Oryzias latipes: one gene and its partners. The protein of the gene in region 3 purifies or fractionates together with the protein of the main gene of each other region. This does not show direct contact. Links are inferred from orthologs where the notes say so. Each region holds a gene or a part of one and is shown on either strand. Other genes may lie near its edges.

The links.
Region 1: the proteins of polr3gl (region 3) and polr3d purify together in Homo sapiens (co-immunoprecipitation; 4 studies listed by BioGRID and IntAct, counting the BioPlex papers as one, with this or other methods). This does not show direct contact. The link is inferred for Oryzias latipes from reciprocal best matches to the Homo sapiens genes POLR3GL and POLR3D.
Region 2: the proteins of polr3gl (region 3) and crcp purify together in Homo sapiens (co-immunoprecipitation; 3 studies listed by BioGRID and IntAct, counting the BioPlex papers as one, with this or other methods). This does not show direct contact. The link is inferred for Oryzias latipes from reciprocal best matches to the Homo sapiens genes POLR3GL and CRCP.
Region 4: the proteins of polr3gl (region 3) and polr3e purify together in Homo sapiens (co-immunoprecipitation; 5 studies listed by BioGRID and IntAct, counting the BioPlex papers as one, with this or other methods). This does not show direct contact. The link is inferred for Oryzias latipes from reciprocal best matches to the Homo sapiens genes POLR3GL and POLR3E.

What each region holds. Positions count from the first base shown.
Region 1 is NC_019867.2:17,411,589-17,415,713, reverse strand, and holds the start of polr3d (DNA-directed RNA polymerase III subunit RPC4), read left to right. Parts: upstream 1-1,317; 5' UTR 1,318-1,437; intron 1,438-3,364; 5' UTR 3,365-3,396; coding exon 3,397-3,561; intron 3,562-3,754; coding exon 3,755-3,798; intron 3,799-3,905; coding exon 3,906-4,060; intron 4,061-4,125. UniProt on the Homo sapiens protein: DNA-dependent RNA polymerase catalyzes the transcription of DNA into RNA using the four ribonucleoside triphosphates as substrates.
Region 2 is NC_019872.2:8,449,022-8,452,969, forward strand, and holds the start of crcp (DNA-directed RNA polymerase III subunit RPC9), read right to left. Parts: upstream 2,809-3,948; 5' UTR 2,733-2,808; coding exon 2,725-2,732; intron 1,612-2,724; coding exon 1,575-1,611; intron 1,477-1,574; coding exon 1,378-1,476; intron 1,305-1,377; coding exon 1,210-1,304; intron 1,080-1,209; coding exon 1,022-1,079; intron 1-1,021. Other genes in the region: protein FAM111A, read right to left, coding at 3,669-3,948. UniProt on the Homo sapiens protein: DNA-dependent RNA polymerase catalyzes the transcription of DNA into RNA using the four ribonucleoside triphosphates as substrates.
Region 3 is NC_019874.2:32,576,088-32,580,237, forward strand, and holds the start of polr3gl (DNA-directed RNA polymerase III subunit RPC7-like), read right to left. Parts: upstream 2,806-4,150; 5' UTR 2,647-2,805; exon of another isoform or gene 2,611-2,646; intron 1,668-2,610; 5' UTR 1,625-1,667; coding exon 1,520-1,624; intron 1,269-1,519; exon of another isoform or gene 1,202-1,268; coding exon 1,072-1,201; intron 994-1,071; coding exon 925-993; intron 848-924; coding exon 791-847; intron 677-790; coding exon 588-676; intron 523-587; coding exon 388-522; intron 320-387; coding exon 233-319; 3' UTR 1-232. UniProt on the Homo sapiens protein: DNA-dependent RNA polymerase catalyzes the transcription of DNA into RNA using the four ribonucleoside triphosphates as substrates. Specific peripheric component of RNA polymerase III which synthesizes small RNAs, such as 5S rRNA and tRNAs.
Region 4 is NC_019877.2:13,142,969-13,147,202, forward strand, and holds the start of polr3e (DNA-directed RNA polymerase III subunit RPC5), read right to left. Parts: upstream 2,809-4,234; 5' UTR 2,741-2,808; exon of another isoform or gene 2,665-2,740; intron 2,609-2,664; exon of another isoform or gene 2,443-2,608; intron 1,721-2,442; 5' UTR 1,674-1,720; coding exon 1,635-1,673; intron 579-1,634; coding exon 528-578; intron 33-527; coding exon 1-32. UniProt on the Homo sapiens protein: DNA-dependent RNA polymerase catalyzes the transcription of DNA into RNA using the four ribonucleoside triphosphates as substrates.

The sequences.
Region 1 (4,125 bases), on a different chromosome or scaffold from region 3:
TGGAGTTTCAAACATCATCTAAACTCTATATCTTGAATTCCCCTTTAATATTTTCTCACACTAAACCATACTCTAATGACATGCAGCTCATAAAAAGGTAACCTAAACTTTCCCTGTTTGATCAAATTGATTTATTTAACTGCATCTATTTATATTTTTCACATATTAAAAACAAATATTTTCTTTGCACTCTGAAGGCCTATTGGATGTTTCCTTTAACAGATTATTTGTATTATTACTATATCACACAGTAGGAACATTCATTACTTATATCACAAACTCTATTTTAATTCCTTAAAAATGTAAAGATGTGAGTTTCCATTTAGAGTTTATATTAGATTTAATCTGTTTAACTGCATGGAAATATTTAATCTTACTGTTTTATTTAACTGCATGCAGTTGTTTGCATAAGGTAGCAAATGGATAGTTCAGTTGGCTCTGTGTAGGACTGGATCATGGGAAACCAGGATCCGCTTCCCAGGGGCCACAATGAACTTGATGCAGTGTGGGCCCTTAGGCAAGACCCTTTGTTGTACTGCGTAACTATGCAGCCACAAGGGGGCCCAAGTCTAGGTTCCCCTGTGCCGGTCCCCAGCTAGGATAAAATACAGGGTTGTGTCAGGAAGATCATCTGGCGCAAAAATCTCTGCAAAGCTACCTGTGAGAATCAGGGAAAGCTGATTCGCTGTCGAGACCCCAGAAGGAATATGCTGAAAGGCGAGAAATATAAAAGCGTGAATGTTGCATAAGACTATTTTGCTGTAAGACAGAAAATAACCAAGGAAACAAGTGCCCAAACAAATGAAATATTTATTATTATTATTATTATTATTATTATTATTATTATTATTATTATTATTATTATTATTATTATTATTATTATTATTATTATTGTTAGTAGTAGTAGTAATATAATCAGTTCCCTTAGCATGTCAGAGGAAAATAACATCTTTAGAAAAAAAAAATTTCCAATCTCGAAATATGCCATATCTTTTGGTTCTTCACATCTGAGACATTTATTTCAAAACATTCAATAACATTAATCCATGCAAAAGATTTTTATGAATCTGACAAAACTTGCAGGAAAACTAATGCACGATATGTCAGAACTCAAAATATAATTTTCATTTAGCTGTTTTAGGAAACATTTGGAAAGACTAGTATAATCGTTTATCTAATCTTATCTTTTTTATGACAGTGAATTTTTTTGGACTGTGGATTCTGAAATAAAACATAAAAATAAAACAAAATAATGTTTCTAAGCATGCGCGTTTTTCTGCGCATGTTTGATCCTCGAGAGCAAGTTGAAGCCAAAGCGGAAGTGTCATGGCGCCGCTAGTGAATGCAGCGGTGGACGAGGCAACAGGATTTTGTTTCTGATATCTGGCAGGTTTTAGGGGGGAAAACTCCGAATAAGGACCACCGAGGACGTGTCGTGTAAGTTTTTGGAGAACTGCAATATGTTAAGACTTCCTCTGGACAGCTTTCGCGTTGTTTGTGATCTATCTTACTAGCCACGTGTTTCTGTAACATTTTTCTTCATTCATCGTATGTAAATACTGGTTGTGTATTTAAATCACTGACAAATATCATTGTAAACACAATTTATTCTCAATGCTTAGACTCGAAAGTTTAAGAAATCATTCCTAATTAATGTCTTGAATTGCTTACGTTCAGAACCACAACAGAGTAAAAAAGATAAAAAGAAAAAGGTTACAGAACGGACTGAAAGTATATTTTTGTTTATCCCGGTATTATTACAAATTACATTAATGTAAACCTCAATAACATTAATTTTAGGTATGGGGTCTAATGATTAATTAATAAAGTGACACATCAAAACAGATTTTGTGGCTGAAACAAGTTGATAATGGATTCAAATCGAACTGTACCATTATAAAATCCTTTCAAAATTATATTAAATTGATAATCGATCTTGGAAAGTACCATTCAGATACATGCTTGGTTTTTTAACTATAGCGTAAAAACGACGTGATGGTGATGTTAGCAAAGAAATGTCAAAGCATCATTCCATTGCAATGTGTGGAAAAACAATTAATTTAGAAAAGACATGTGACCATAATCACAATAGTGTTCAGAAAAACAGCAGAAATCATTGATCGATTTTCTGGTCTTGTTACAAACTAACCAACCTCCAGCTGGCACAGAAACATGCCCTCTTGACTGTGAAGGAATTGAGCGTCCCCGCACAACAAATCAAACATACCCTGTAAGACGCGCATGCTCAATGTGTTTGTTTAGGGAAATAACAGAATTCTTTTTTTTAATTGGACAATTGCAACATACAGAACAAGAGAATGCAACAATTATGCACATATAATGTACAGTAGAATAAACGTGTTACAACATTAAGAAAATTTTAATTATTAGAAGCAATCACAAAAGGCAATAACAAATAAAAATAAATAAATAAAATAAAACTAAACAAAGAAAAAAATAAAATAAAGTTAAAAAAAAATAATAATAAAAAGAGAAAATACGAGAGTAAACTTATATCAGTAGTCCAAAAAATTTACAAATTTCAATTGTTTTTTGAGCTTTTGTATTTTTTGAAGATGAAATTAAGTTTAAATATTGCTGCAGTTCAAGTGACAGAATTTGTGGACATGAAGGGAGGGACACGCAAATCCCCTTTTGTAGCGATGATAAGACACTAAAAATCTTTTCTTTATCTTTTTGCTAATTTTAGTGTCACGTGCTGTTGAGCATTGCTAATTTTCTTGCAAAGATGTATTACAAAAACAAGTGCGTTGATCTTATTTTGCGAGATAACAGCTGGTTCTTTTAAATTTTGGCATAGGGGCCAAAAAAACAAAACAAAAGAACTTCTAGCCTGTAGCTTTACTTTGAAATCCAATGATTGGCGACACACGAGGATGAGGGGCCATAAATAAACGTCACAGCTGAGATCACCTGGTCAGAACACAGTACTTTCTCAGGAAGTTGAGGCAGGCCCTCTTCTTTCAGGAACTGCTGGTCAGGTTTTATAAGGCCAACAATGAGGGTTCAGTTCTAGTGCCGCGCTGTCTGAAGGCACAACAGAGGACAGGAAGACCGTGCAGGAAGTAGTAAGAACAGAGGGGAGGGGGATAGGAAGTGCACTACCAGACTGATTGGGAAAGAGTTGTATTTGGAAAGATGCCACACACCCTGGACATTACGTAACTGTTTTAAAGGCACACGCCAACAGAATCCAGAGTAGTGTTTCACCTGGCAGTAAAATGTGTGCAACCTCCTCATAAAGACATTTGAAAACAATTTTTATGTAATATTTGTGTATTTTCCTTTTAAACATCACCATTGTCTGAGAGAGATGATGATGAGTATTATTGTTGGCCACCAGGTTGGGAGTTTGACATCCCTTTAAAGTTCAGGATGGCGGACTCCGGGGAGTCCAGCAGTCAACGCGTTCCCACTCCTGCAGGCGCCAGCAGCAGCAATGTAGGACTCCAGATGGGGCGTCGACCACCAGCTGGACTCTCTCCTGGACGCCTCCCTTCCATGCGGTCAAGGGACCTCACCCTGGGAGGAGTGAAGAAGGTTAGCATCATACCTCACTCGCCATTTAATCTTTGGGTTAGGAATTGTGTTAGATGAGTTAATCACACCAGATATATTAAGAAACCCTTCTGTAGCTTCTTTTGCCCTACTTGCAATCATGATTTTTTTTTTCTAGATTTCAAAAATAAACAGCTTTTCTTATTACTCATTTATCTTTTTTTTAATTTTATAGAAAACCTTCACACCCAACATCATTGGCCGAAAGGTTAAAGAGGAGTAAGTTGATTTTATTTCTAGGATTGAAAAATGCAGTGAAGAACAAATAAAATTCGTGTAAACTGAAGCTTTAACTGTTTTAAAAAAAAAATTTTTGGTTGCAACAGAGCCAAAGTTGAGACTGATCAAAGGAGAGATCGGAGAGGTGGAGAACGTGGTCGAGGGCCGAGAGACAGAGGCAGGGGCCGAGGTCGCCAAGAGATCATCCAGTCCCATTCTATCTTTGAGCAGGGGCCGGCCGAGATGATGATGAAAAGGAGAGGTGGGGGGCCAGCAGGACTAGCATATGCAGTTTGCTGCTGCAGCTGAACTGCCATTTTTAAAGTT
Region 2 (3,948 bases), on a different chromosome or scaffold from region 3:
GTCATCTAAGATAGCACAAGGGTTAAAAGCATCTCAAAAGTGAGAAGGGCGACATCTGCAGGCTGAGTTTTAGAACTGCATGTTAGTGGATGCTAATGGAAATGGCCTCATTTGTGTTCACTGCAACAACTGCTTTATAGCTGCTTTGTATTGAAAAAAATATTTTTATTTTAAAAGGATACAGATTGCAGAGAGACAAATGGTAAACAGGGAGTGCAGTTCTTTAAGAGGCTCCATATAGTTTTGGAAATTCACTTTTTAAAATGTACTCTAAGAGATAATCTGCTCTAGAATAACTGATTTAGGACAATATATAATTGCTGTTGCATTATGAAACCAGATTATTTCTTAATAGAGGGAGCCTTCTACACTTGGCTTTAGGTGAGTAATTATTGGTTGCTAAAAAAGATTTTTTCGGGACACACCACACCCCAGTGAAGCAGCATCAGAAGTCTGCACTCCACATCCTGGTGTTACTCAGTTTGCTAAAAGAACGGCTGGATTTCTCTACTTGATTTTTAGTCAAATAGTGCAATGTACCCATTTTAAGGATTAAATATTTCTAAACCCATCACAGCCATAACCTCAACGCTTAGCTAAAGCAATAATAAGGCTTTGCTTAAACGGGTCATGAGGGTCTTTTTGGTTTGCTGTATAAGGTATTGTTAACATTGTCTTGTAATAGCTGCTTCAATAGATTATTAATGCGTTACAGGAATGGGCTCAAGCCTGGATTTACTGTGAATTGCCCATTCAAACTAACCCTGCAGACAGGAATAGCATGAAAAAACCAGAGTGGTAGAACCTGTAGGGCAATCTACATGTAACAAATGAAGTTGCTGATGGATGCATGTGAAAAAGTGCATGTTTTGGGTTAGATTTGAGCCTTTTTGGGTTGAGTTAACAAAAATACAAATATGAGAAAGATCTCATTTGTTATACAGAGCTACCATAGGAATACATGAGTAAATTATTTAGGAAAAAAAGATAAAACATTTAGAAAGACATGAAAAATACTTACAAGCTGAATTTCCACTGCACTCTGAGGCCGTTGGTTTAACAGCTGCAGTTTTTCTGCCCTTAAAGAGAGAAAGATGGCAAAATTTTAACTTTGAGACATTTTTATCCCCAAACTATACATCATTTATTAAGCGGAAATTACAATTGAAGCCCCAGAGGGGTGAAAAATATTATCTTTTAGATACTGACTTGGTCAGCTTCTGAGGCATCATGGTGGTGAGGAACTCTCTGACAATTTCAGGACTCTGTCTGCTGCATGGCGTCTTTGACAAATACTTTAGAGTCTGAAAGCAAATGCAGGTGAGAACATGGACTGGATTTGACAACTAAAGCTCAGACAGTATGAATAGTACCCACTTCATACATGATGGTGTTGAGGTCCTGTTGCCCGAGGCTATGTTTGCTTTTTCCAGCATCTTTCCTCTGTTCTTTCAGGTCGGTGAGAAGTTTGAATACCTGAGACGAAGACATTATTTAGCTTTTCTGAATAATTAATTTCATTACCAGGCAGGAAAATCAACAAAAACCCTTAATAGACAGTCTTATAGTCTCACCTCATAGTTACTGAGCATGGCCGCGTTTGCATTTTTTCTGTGTAAAAAAACCCAAATAACAATTGTTAAACATTAAATTATGAGATAATTAAAATATCTGTTACCAAAACAAGCTTTATAAGATTGGAATATTTCCCATGTAGTTTATATATTTAGTAAACATTTTTCTTCTGTGATTTGATCTTCACATCCTTGTGTTACTAAAAGAACGGCTGGATTTCTCTACTTGATTTTTATTTATATAACGAAATTTTCTTAATCGGAACCTCAGATCTTCTCTTTAATGAACAGCAATAATTTTTTTTTGTGTTTTCCCTTTTTAAAAACTAGAAACCCATCAATTAGATTATTTTAAAGCCGTTGAAACTTACTGAAATAGATATTAGCAAATGTTTTTGTTTTTCAAGTTTGAAGAAGAAAAGAAATACAATTAAAAAAAGCAAACTTTTGATAAATATAAATAAATCTAATGAAAAACAAGACAGAATACTGTTTAAATTCAAACCTGTTTCCCATATTTCTTTGCTTCAATGTTATTTAGAAAAATTAAGTTTGTGATTTCAGGCAAATATGAATTAGATCAGAGCTCAAGTGACAAGTTGACAAATGTTGTGGAGTGCGGCTGAGTTGGCTTATATTAGATGACAAAATGTTTTTTAGCTGCTTCATCATGTCATAACTAATTCATTTATTATTGAAGAGCCAACGCAGAATGTGTTTGTAAATGGAATGTTTCATGATTTGAAACAAATATTTGATAACACAAACTCAAACTAATCCGACCCGTGCTTTTTGTTTCTCCCATCTTCTGAAATTTACGTTTATAAACGATTTCGCGACCTTTTGTCCCGTCTCTAACTTCGTCCCCAAACATAATACAATTTAAAACATTTGTAGACTGCAAACTCTTCAAAATGGATCAAAGTCTCCCGGACTCAATATGTTTTAATTCAGTTGTTTTGTGTGTCGATCATCATCTCTCCATTTTTTGGCCGACAGCATCATCCCAACGGAACAAGCAAAACATCACATAATAAACCCGAAACTGAAACACGCACGAAACTACCATCGATCACAATTAAAATTGTACATGTAAATATACATAAAAGACTTATTAGCCGTTGTTTTGTTCTTAAAAAAAAAATCTTACACTTCCATGTCGACTCTTAGGTTCCGTTACAATAAAGGGGTTCGTGTAGAAAATAGGGGAGTATATTGGTTCCGCCTAGCAAAAAACGCATTTTTACATAGAACGTGGGATCAGAGAAAACAGAATAAATATTTAAAAAAGTGAAACACTGCCGAGATGTTTGAAAATGAAAAACAATGTAAGAGTATCTCAAAAAGTGTAAATTCGAAAGCCCCTTCACCAAACAGTTCAATGAAATTAACAAGGACTTCCAGAGCCTCATGCAGCAGCATCAGGGAGAAGGTGAAGTACACCCTGAACACATCGAGGGTTATTTTAAACATATTAAACATTTAACATTTACTGTTAGGGTAAGGGAACAAAAAAGGAATACACTAGAAGTCACTTTTATCAGATTTTAATACAGTTTCATTAGTCATGATTTGAAGCACACAGTATTGAACACTTTTTGCTTTTTAAAAACAAAAACAGAAAAAGTACAATGAATTTTATGCTACTGCACTGAGTAATGAGTAATCTATATTTGAAAAAACAAATAAATCCCAAAACATAATAAAACAACCAAAAAAAGGAAACCTTTTGTTGGCATTTCTTTTCAAGAACTTGATACAGGAATGAGTCAAGACTGAAATGTAAGAATTGGACATCCATACAAGTAAAATATACAAGAGTGAACAGATTTTTTCCAGCATTATTTTTTCTCTGAACTGGAGAGTGATGGTTAAAAATGTTTCTGGGACAGAAAAATCACATAATTATATTAAACAGGTGCATGTGAATTGCTTGGAGCAACAATAAAGTAAACAATAAGTGCAGAAATTAAAGCTTTAACTTTTATTAAAGCTGAGTTTAAAGCTTTCGTTTAATTTTTGCTTTTCACTGCTGGAATTTCTTTGTTTTACTGCAGTCAAGCCCAGGATAACTATAAAATGAGATGATGAGACCTAAACAACCTCCATTGGGACAGGTTCCTCAGTTTGGCAGAAAAACTCAAGGAATGTTTGTACAACTTTGTCATCCACACAGCTCCTTGCAGCTTCTTTGAACCGTTGGTTATTTCTGCTCTCAACTATTTTTTTGACACCGTCTTTGACGGCGGTGCCTCGAGTGTAGCTGCAATCAAGATATTCTCTCAAAACGTCAAACTTTTTTCCCTCCACCATTTGGATAATAAAATCTTCCAAAATGAAATGCAGAGGTTGGGCATATTCAACAACAGCCCGT
Region 3 (4,150 bases):
GGCTGACGTCACCTCCTGGAAGCAGAAGCTCCAGCGCCAACAGTAGGTGGGACGTCGGCCCCCCCTGGTGGTGAAGTATGGTACGGCCCGAAAGGATCAAACGTCAGACTGTTGGCTGCAGGTCGACACACGAGGTCACGTGACCGTCTGTTTATTGGAGCAGCAGGTGACACCAGGTTGGACTGCCTCTTCAGTCACACGCGTGCACGTGGCGTGCACGTGCAGCAGCTGCTCAGTAAATGGCCTCGTCCATGTTGTCGTCGCTGTCGCCGCCGAATTCCTCGCCGTTGTCGAAGTACGACATGATGTAGTCGGTTTCCTGCACAGAGGGTCCAGTTAGACCTGCAGAGCCTCCGTGGTTCTGACCCAGGCCTGCTGACCACGTACCTCCTCCAGTTCTTCCTCATCATACTCCTCCTCTGCCTCTGCTCCCTCCTCCTCCTCCGGCTTCTTCTTCACCCCTCCCTCCTCCTCCTCTGAGCTCTGCTCATGCTCCTCCTTCTTCTCCAGGGTCTGCAGACACTTCCATTAAAGCCATCATCATCATCATCATCATCATCATCAGAGGTTCTATAGAAACCCTTCACCTCCAGTTTGAGCAGCACCTCCTCTTCCTCCTTCTTCTTCTTCTTCTTCTGGACTGGCACAGAACTATCCATGGTGCTGAAGGCCAGACCTGAGGGAGACAGCAGCTGATGCTCACCCCCCTGAGTAATCTGATTACTGCTGATGAATACTGTTCAGACGAGTCAGTAAGGTACCCAGAGTACTGAGTAATGGGATTACTCGCCTTCTCTGACTCTCCTCCTGATGTGGACCTGCAGCTCTCTGGGGAATCGTCTCCAGTCTGAAATCCAGAGACGTGCAGACATGAAGGTTCTGATGGCGTTTTCATTGGATGTTACCGTGGTAACGGCGTCTCACCCAGGTTCCAGTCCGTGAGGCTGTTCGTCTGCTCGCTGCTGTGATATTTGTCCGAGTAGCGCTGAACATCTGCACAGGAAGAAAGCAGGACTTTCAAAATAAGACTGCGTGTGTGTGTGCGCGCGTGTGTGTGTGCACGTGTGTGACCTCGCTGTGCTGCTGCTGGCTTGATGAAGAATGGCAGATTCTTCATCACTCCTCTAAAATCCTGCTTCAGGGCCAATAGATACTCTGCTTCTTCTCCACCTGCCAGGGGGAGGGGCTTCTGCTCCATCACCTGGACACCAAATCCACCAACTTCAAATCCCAGAATTCAGTGCTTCAAAATCAGCGCATTACCCCAACTGTTGGTGTCAGAGCAGAAAAATGTCAGAGCTCCTCTTTCCTGCATCTGTTGTTTGTTACGGTTCACGTCGAGACGATAAATGTCTGCCTAACGTAGACGTCAGTGACATCCCATAATAACCCACAAGGTTCAGAATGACATGAACAGCTTTAACAAACAATGAAAACAACAACAGAGGGATTTCATTCAACCAAAAAGAATAACACTTAAATATAAATGAGGGGTTTTCCTGGTGTGGGCGGGGCTTACAGGAAACACAGGCGTGGGCTGCTGAAGTCCTGGGGGGAGACCTTCTCCCCTGCTGATGCTCGAGTCCGTGCCGAAAGGCCTACGGCCCCGCCCTCGTCCCGCCATGGCTGGTCCCCCTCAGACAAAACCGGACCGAGCCAGAACCGCCCTAAAGACACAACAGGACCCCACTGTAAATCAGGATACGTCCACGGGGTAAGCCCCGCCCCTGTCACACAGCCCAATGACCACTCCCCCTTTTCAGGTCAGAGGGAAGCGCATCAAGGCCTTTCAGGTGTGTTTGATCGTTTTCGGTTGTTCCTTCCATCCCCTCAGAACCTGATGTCATGTAGCGTCTGTTCCAGCAGGTGGCAGTATACAGGCATTTCCAGAGGAAAAAACGGGAATAAACCAGTGACTGCATGTGGGAACTGGACCGAGTGGCCCCGCCCCCTAGCGTTCCAAACAGGAAAATCCCGTAGACATCTACAAACGGCTGTTCCTCAGTCGTTCTATGGGTCAGAGGAACCGCTCTGGATCTGATTCTTTAGAACCTCTTCCTGATAATCCTCATTTTTCATTTCATTTCTGTAGTTCAAGGTATAAACTGACCAATCAGACGCCTCAATGAAAGTGGGTGGAGCCTGCTGACCCTAACCCCAAGTTTGACTGATTTCTGTAACCTGCTTTCAAGTGGGTGTGGCCTTTCAACAAGCTCACTCCTGGTTGGTCAGTGTGGTTGCTATAGAAACGATGACTCAGACCAACTCGGACCAATCACTGGCGGCGGCGTTAAAACGGCGACTGAATTCTGCATTGACTAGATATGGACTAGGAATCGGATCCGTCTCGACAGGGAACCATTCCAGCCCTGATGACGTATGTGATGATGTCACTGACGACACTGCAGCATGTGGGGCCTAAGAACCCACGTTTGAACCCCTGCTTCCTGATGACGTCACGCCTCTCTGGTCGCTGTGGTTCTGAGCTGCTTTCAGAGAAACGAGGAAAATGTTTTGGTTTTTGATTCAGGGGCTTCGGCTGACGTCATCAGCCTCATCGATCAGGCTGATCGTGAAGCTCCATCAGAACCCTGCGGGCTCCCTTCTGACCTGGGCTCGCGCTCGGTCGGGTATGACTCCTCTGACCTGTTCCCGCTTTTCCGTTACGGCTGCAGCTTAGTGCGCGCTCCCGCGGCGCGCTCCATGTTCGGTTCAGACTTTCACAAACTCCACCACGAACGGTTGTTTACCGTCCCCGGACCTCGCTTTACAGGCGCCCCGCCTACTACCCACCGGAAATGTCCTACGGCAGTTTGCGCGCGCTTGCATTCTGCGTTGGGCCGCGCGTTTCTGCCCCCTATCGGACAGGAGGACAGAAATCCAGCTACATTTATGGTCGATAGCAGTGGCGGTTCTACCCTGAATTACTCCCCGCGCGAGACCCCCCCGCCCCCCCCCCCATAGAGTCACTCTGTCCATGTCAACTGACATGTTTTATTGGAGCAGAAGTAGCAGCAGAACAGCAGCAGCAGAACAGCAGCAGCATGCTACCATCACAGCTCATTTAACATTTATGAACTAAGTTTACAACAGCCTTTGGCTGTGTGTGGGGCCATAACCATAACCATAACCATAACCATAGCTGGATCGCAGGCAGTGTTTGGCCGCTCATGCGACTCCTGTGGAGAGTCCTCCTGAGCTGGGGGGCAGGTGCCGCTGTTTCTTTTGTTTCCCATCGTTTGTTTGCATTTCTGCTCTATCCAACCCGCTGACCCCTTGGTGCACCGTTGTCCAGGAGCGGTGCCACGGCCGGGATTTCCGGGGATCGTGTGTGCTCTGTACACCGTTTCAGCGAGTGCCGTCCATCCACGCACTGGGGAGCGGCGTGATGAAGCCGGATCGAGAGCTATCGGAGCGGGTTCCCCCTTCCGGCCTTCTGTGGCCCCGGGCACAACCAGAGCCCAGTGTCCCACCACCCTGGACTGGCGTCGGTTACTGCCACTGTACGCAAGGGGCGTGGCATTGAGCCTGTTGTGCCGCAACAGAGCGCACGGCTGGGTGCAGCTGACTGTGTGGGCTGGGCATGATGGCCCTTGTGGTTTGGTTAACTCTTTTGGGTGTCTTTCAGAATAGGAATTTTAATACTATTTGTAATAAAGGGTGTCTATTTTCTTAAAAGCACAGTCTTGGTTTCCTGTCGGAGAGTCCTGTGCTCTTCATTTTAAGTCTTCTACTGGAGGCATCCAAGGGGAAACCATACTGCCACAGGAATCTTGGTGCTGTGAGCAGAAATTGACGTCAGCGCCAGTTTTGGCCTGTGCTGACTTCACACTACCCTTTATTCTGGAAGTAGATGCCAGCCACAATGGCCTTGGTGCAGTTTTGTCCCAGGAGCAGGGTGGCAGTGTGCGGCCATTGCCATGCCAGTAGGGGGCTAAAAGCTACAGAGCGTAACATGCAGAACTGCAGCTCTATGAAGCTGGAGTTCTTGGCTCTTAAATGGGCCATGATGATTATGAGATAAAGTATCGTTCTGGCAGAATGTGGACGCCCTGTCACGACATCCCAATCGTAGTTCAGCAGGGGTCGGCGACATGGCACCCGGTACTTCACAAAGAAATGACCGAAAGAAAGATGGCCGACAGGCTTT
Region 4 (4,234 bases), on a different chromosome or scaffold from region 3:
TCATAGGTCATAATAGCCGGCCGGACAGGATACTGCACAAAAAACGAAAGATTAAACGATGAGTCAACACAACAAGCCAGAGGAGAGCTTTTTTTCAACTATCAAAGTTTAGAAAAAATACTATTTTATTAATCTGTTATTAAAGATAAATAATTAAAAGCTTAAGGAATAAATGACTAAAAAAGGAACATTTTGAAGAACAAATTTTAACAGAAACATTTCATTAAAATCAAGATAATTGAAATGGGTTTGGTGCAAGTTACACATTTTCAACAAAACATCTGAAAGGGCAGAAAAAATGCTTATTCATTATGTTTGTGGCTCTCAAAACAGAAAAAGAATAATAATTTTGAATTCAATTTTTCCTTTTTATGTGTATATTTATGTGACTAACACATTCAACTGACTTCCATTTAACAGTAAAAAAAATAAATAAAAAAATAAAAATAAAAAGCATTGACCATGAGGAAAGTAAAAGGTTTTAAGCAGAATATAAAAACAGGCACAATAATGAAGGAAATGCTTACCTGGAAAAGATAGAGCTTATCTGCGAGGCTTTTGGCGAGGTACACGTCAATCTACAGAAACACACAAATGAAAATCAGACTTTTCCACTCTGCACAAATGACTCTGAGCTTCAAGGTTTTCAACGTAATATTATATGAGTCTTAACTGCATTTCTATTCATGTAGTTATCTAAATAAAATGTCTTAAAACATAATAAATAAGAAAATTGTTAAACTAAACATTATTTGTTTAGCACTTTACATACATAACGTTGCTTCCTAAAGTGCATGAAACATAAGTACACAAAAAGTCAATTAAAAAATAGTTTTTTTGAAAACATATTAATAAACAATACCAAAAAGGTTTTTCTGCCTATGAATACATCTGCCTCTTAAACACAACAACTTCTCTTAAACAATGGCACAAAAGGCTTCCTTGGGCATTTTGTACAAACCACCTGCTAATCTACACACTAAAACTCCCACACCAAGTGTAAACTGAAGGAGACATTTCCAGTTGAAAACCCCAAAGCAGCGGCACTCCTTTTTGTACATATGGCTCAATATGCAATCCTGCAGATCAGGTTATAGGAAAAATGCTGCAAAACTCAGAGGCTCTTCTTTTTTGGGGGGGTTTCCCAAAGAAACTGATGACCCACACTCTGATGAAAATTGTTTTTTTTTTTTATGATGATGGAGGACATGTATGTGAAAATTAACCACTCTAATTAAAATGCGTTTGGAAAAACCAAACCACTTGCCTAATACTGTTAATGTTGTTTAATGTAAATATGTGACCGATTTCAGAGGCTGTCAGTAGTTTCCATTCTCTTTAGAGAAGGTCACAGTGTAAACACAGATGAATTGTTAGACAACAGCATGTTGGATTGTTTTTCAATCGACCGCAGACCACAGAAAAACGTCTTCAAATTAGCTTAAAACAAACACTAATACATGCTAGTTTAATGGGAACTACATTTACCCATAAACATGGTCATTTCCTTATTTTTGAGATCAATAAAGTTTAATTCATTCATTCAAATACATATTTCTCATGGCTCAAAGTTGCTGCATAGCAGTGATCAGAAGAGGATTGAAACTTTATTTAAATTCCAGACGTAAACATACCTCCTCTATAATTGGATCATCTTCATCTCCACTGGCCATATCTATAGGATCAGGGGAGCAGCAGTGATATATCAGAGGACTTCAACCTGGACAAAATAAATGCAAAGCAAGAATCCGTCATTGATTAACACTGCTTTTAATATGCTACAGCAGGTAATCCAAAAGAACAGAAAGGTTTAACAGAAGTCCTAGTAATCCAGATGTACATTATATTTGTAAAAAAAAAAAAAAGTGTTTCATTGGTAGTTAAACGTATAACAAGTTACATTTCTGTATCTATATGCGATCTAAACTAATCTGTGATGATGCAGCATGTCAGATGATGCTTTCACGGACCCATCACGGCGAAACTGATGTAATAGTACGCAACCATCCAAAAAATTGAAGTTTTTCACTTCCCTAAATACAAACGACGTCCAGCATCCTTGTCAATCTGTGATTTATGTTGGTTACACAATTTTCTGCAGGCCCACAGTTCAGAAAAGTCAGATAGTTCTTGCTTCGTTAGCTTCATTAGCCTAGCAAGCATCAGCTCTTTAAATTACTAGCCACAGGCCCCCACAACAGAGACACTCAAAATAACATTTCTTTACAAATACGCGCTTAAGTAGACAGAGACGAACGACACTTTTAACTGTGGAGTTTTCTGAAAATTCCAAAACTGAAGGTAGGCTGTAGCTAAGCTAACCAGAGTAATGTAGCTTAGCGTGCTAACACACACATCAGAGATTTATGATAAACAAGACAAAACATCAGATTTAGCACTTTGGACATGTGGCATCCCCATAGAAACAGCGTGAGGCCTCACCTGCTCACCCCCTGCAGTTTAAATATATAACACGTTCAAGAACAGTCCATGAGTGAACTACTAGACTTGAAGCAAACTACCGGGCTTGAGGTACCATGATGTTGACGCTGTTTCAACAGACACGTGGGGAGTTGGACGTGCTCGTGCAAATAATGCTATTCGGACCAAACTGCGGAACTGAGCACTGTCACGTGTCTTTATAACCTATTTACTTTAACTTACCTTTTATTCACTAATTCGTTCTGCATGTGTTTTCTTTAACTGTTAGATCAAGCGTTGAGGAAAAACAACGACGTACCAAAAAGAATTCTTGGCAGCGGTGGGATTCGAACCCACGCCCCCGAAGAGACTGGAGCCTTAATCCAGCGCCTTAGACCGCTCGGCCACGCTACCGTGATGCATTGCGAAGGAAAATGTGTCATCATAGTCCATAGGCAGCTGAACGCTGCCTATTCATGTTCAATTATAAATGCAACCACAAGGCTGCACGACGCATTACCTGTCCCATGTCCGGCTAAAGGACATGGGACATATATATATACGTGCCGTATATGTATATATGAATTGTGTATCACGAAACAACAAGAACCGAGACATTCGGAAAAGTTTTTTTTTTATTTGGAAATAGGTAAGTACCAATGAAGAGAAACCTTTTATACCTGGGTTACACTAAGACTGGTATAATTTACTTAAAGAATAAAGAATCAATAAATACTTCCTACATTTAACACAATTGAGTGTCAATCAGTTGTGTTAAATTTAAAACAACTCATTGTCACTCAACGTCACCCTAGTGGTATCCAGTCGAGATGCAACAATTCACTTTCTCCACGATTTTGTTCAGTTCAATGGTGAAACACACGGTTCAATTTTAAACAGGGAATTGTGAGATGGTTTGTAAATACAAAGGGTTGTGTCATGAAGGGCACCCAGTAAAACCAAAGTCAATACAGTCGTGCAAACTACAACAATAAATTTTATACTAATCGTGGCAAAGGTGTAACAACAACCACCAATGGTACAGTCATCCACAGGGTGCCAATGGAAATTGGACATGTATGAGAGGTGTGAGGCAGTGGTGAGATGGTCTTCCTTGTTTGTGTGGTGATGAACAGACTGACAGATGAAGTTAGACAGAAATCTCTGTGGACCATGATGTCTGCAAATGACATGCATTGAAAGCAGAAAGGAAGTGGAAGAACAACTAGAGAGGTGGGGGTTTGACGTGGAAAGGAGAGGACTGAAGGTCCGCTGCAGAAGATGGGGAGGATTTCCAGTCTAGAACAACAGATTGGTTGTAGAGGCATATGCAGACAGGTTGTAATGGGTGGAGGAAGGTTTAGGTATGATGTGAGACAAAAGAAAAATGTTAGCAAGAATGAAAGGAAAGGTGTAGAAGATGGTGAGAGAGCAGCCATGTTGTTGGTTTAAAGCAGAGGTCTGCAACCATCAACACTTAAAAAGCCATTTGACCTTTTATGTGTTGGAGTAGTAGGAGCCACAAAGTCTTTAGGAAAATTTGATATTTGCTTTGCATTCATTACTTTGTTATTTTTGTAATAAATATGAATTACCGGTATATTAATTTTTTGACTTGAAAAAGCACAAATACCCCTTGTGCTATCCTATGGGGTCAAGATGACCATTGACGTGTTCTCCCTACCATGACAAAGGTGGATAAAGGTGAAGAGGATTTCATGTAATCCATGGACACCAGTGAAGATCACAAATCATTGAAGAATCTTGTGGGGTCTAGATGACCCAACGCCCAATGTTAAAGTGCCTAGGATTG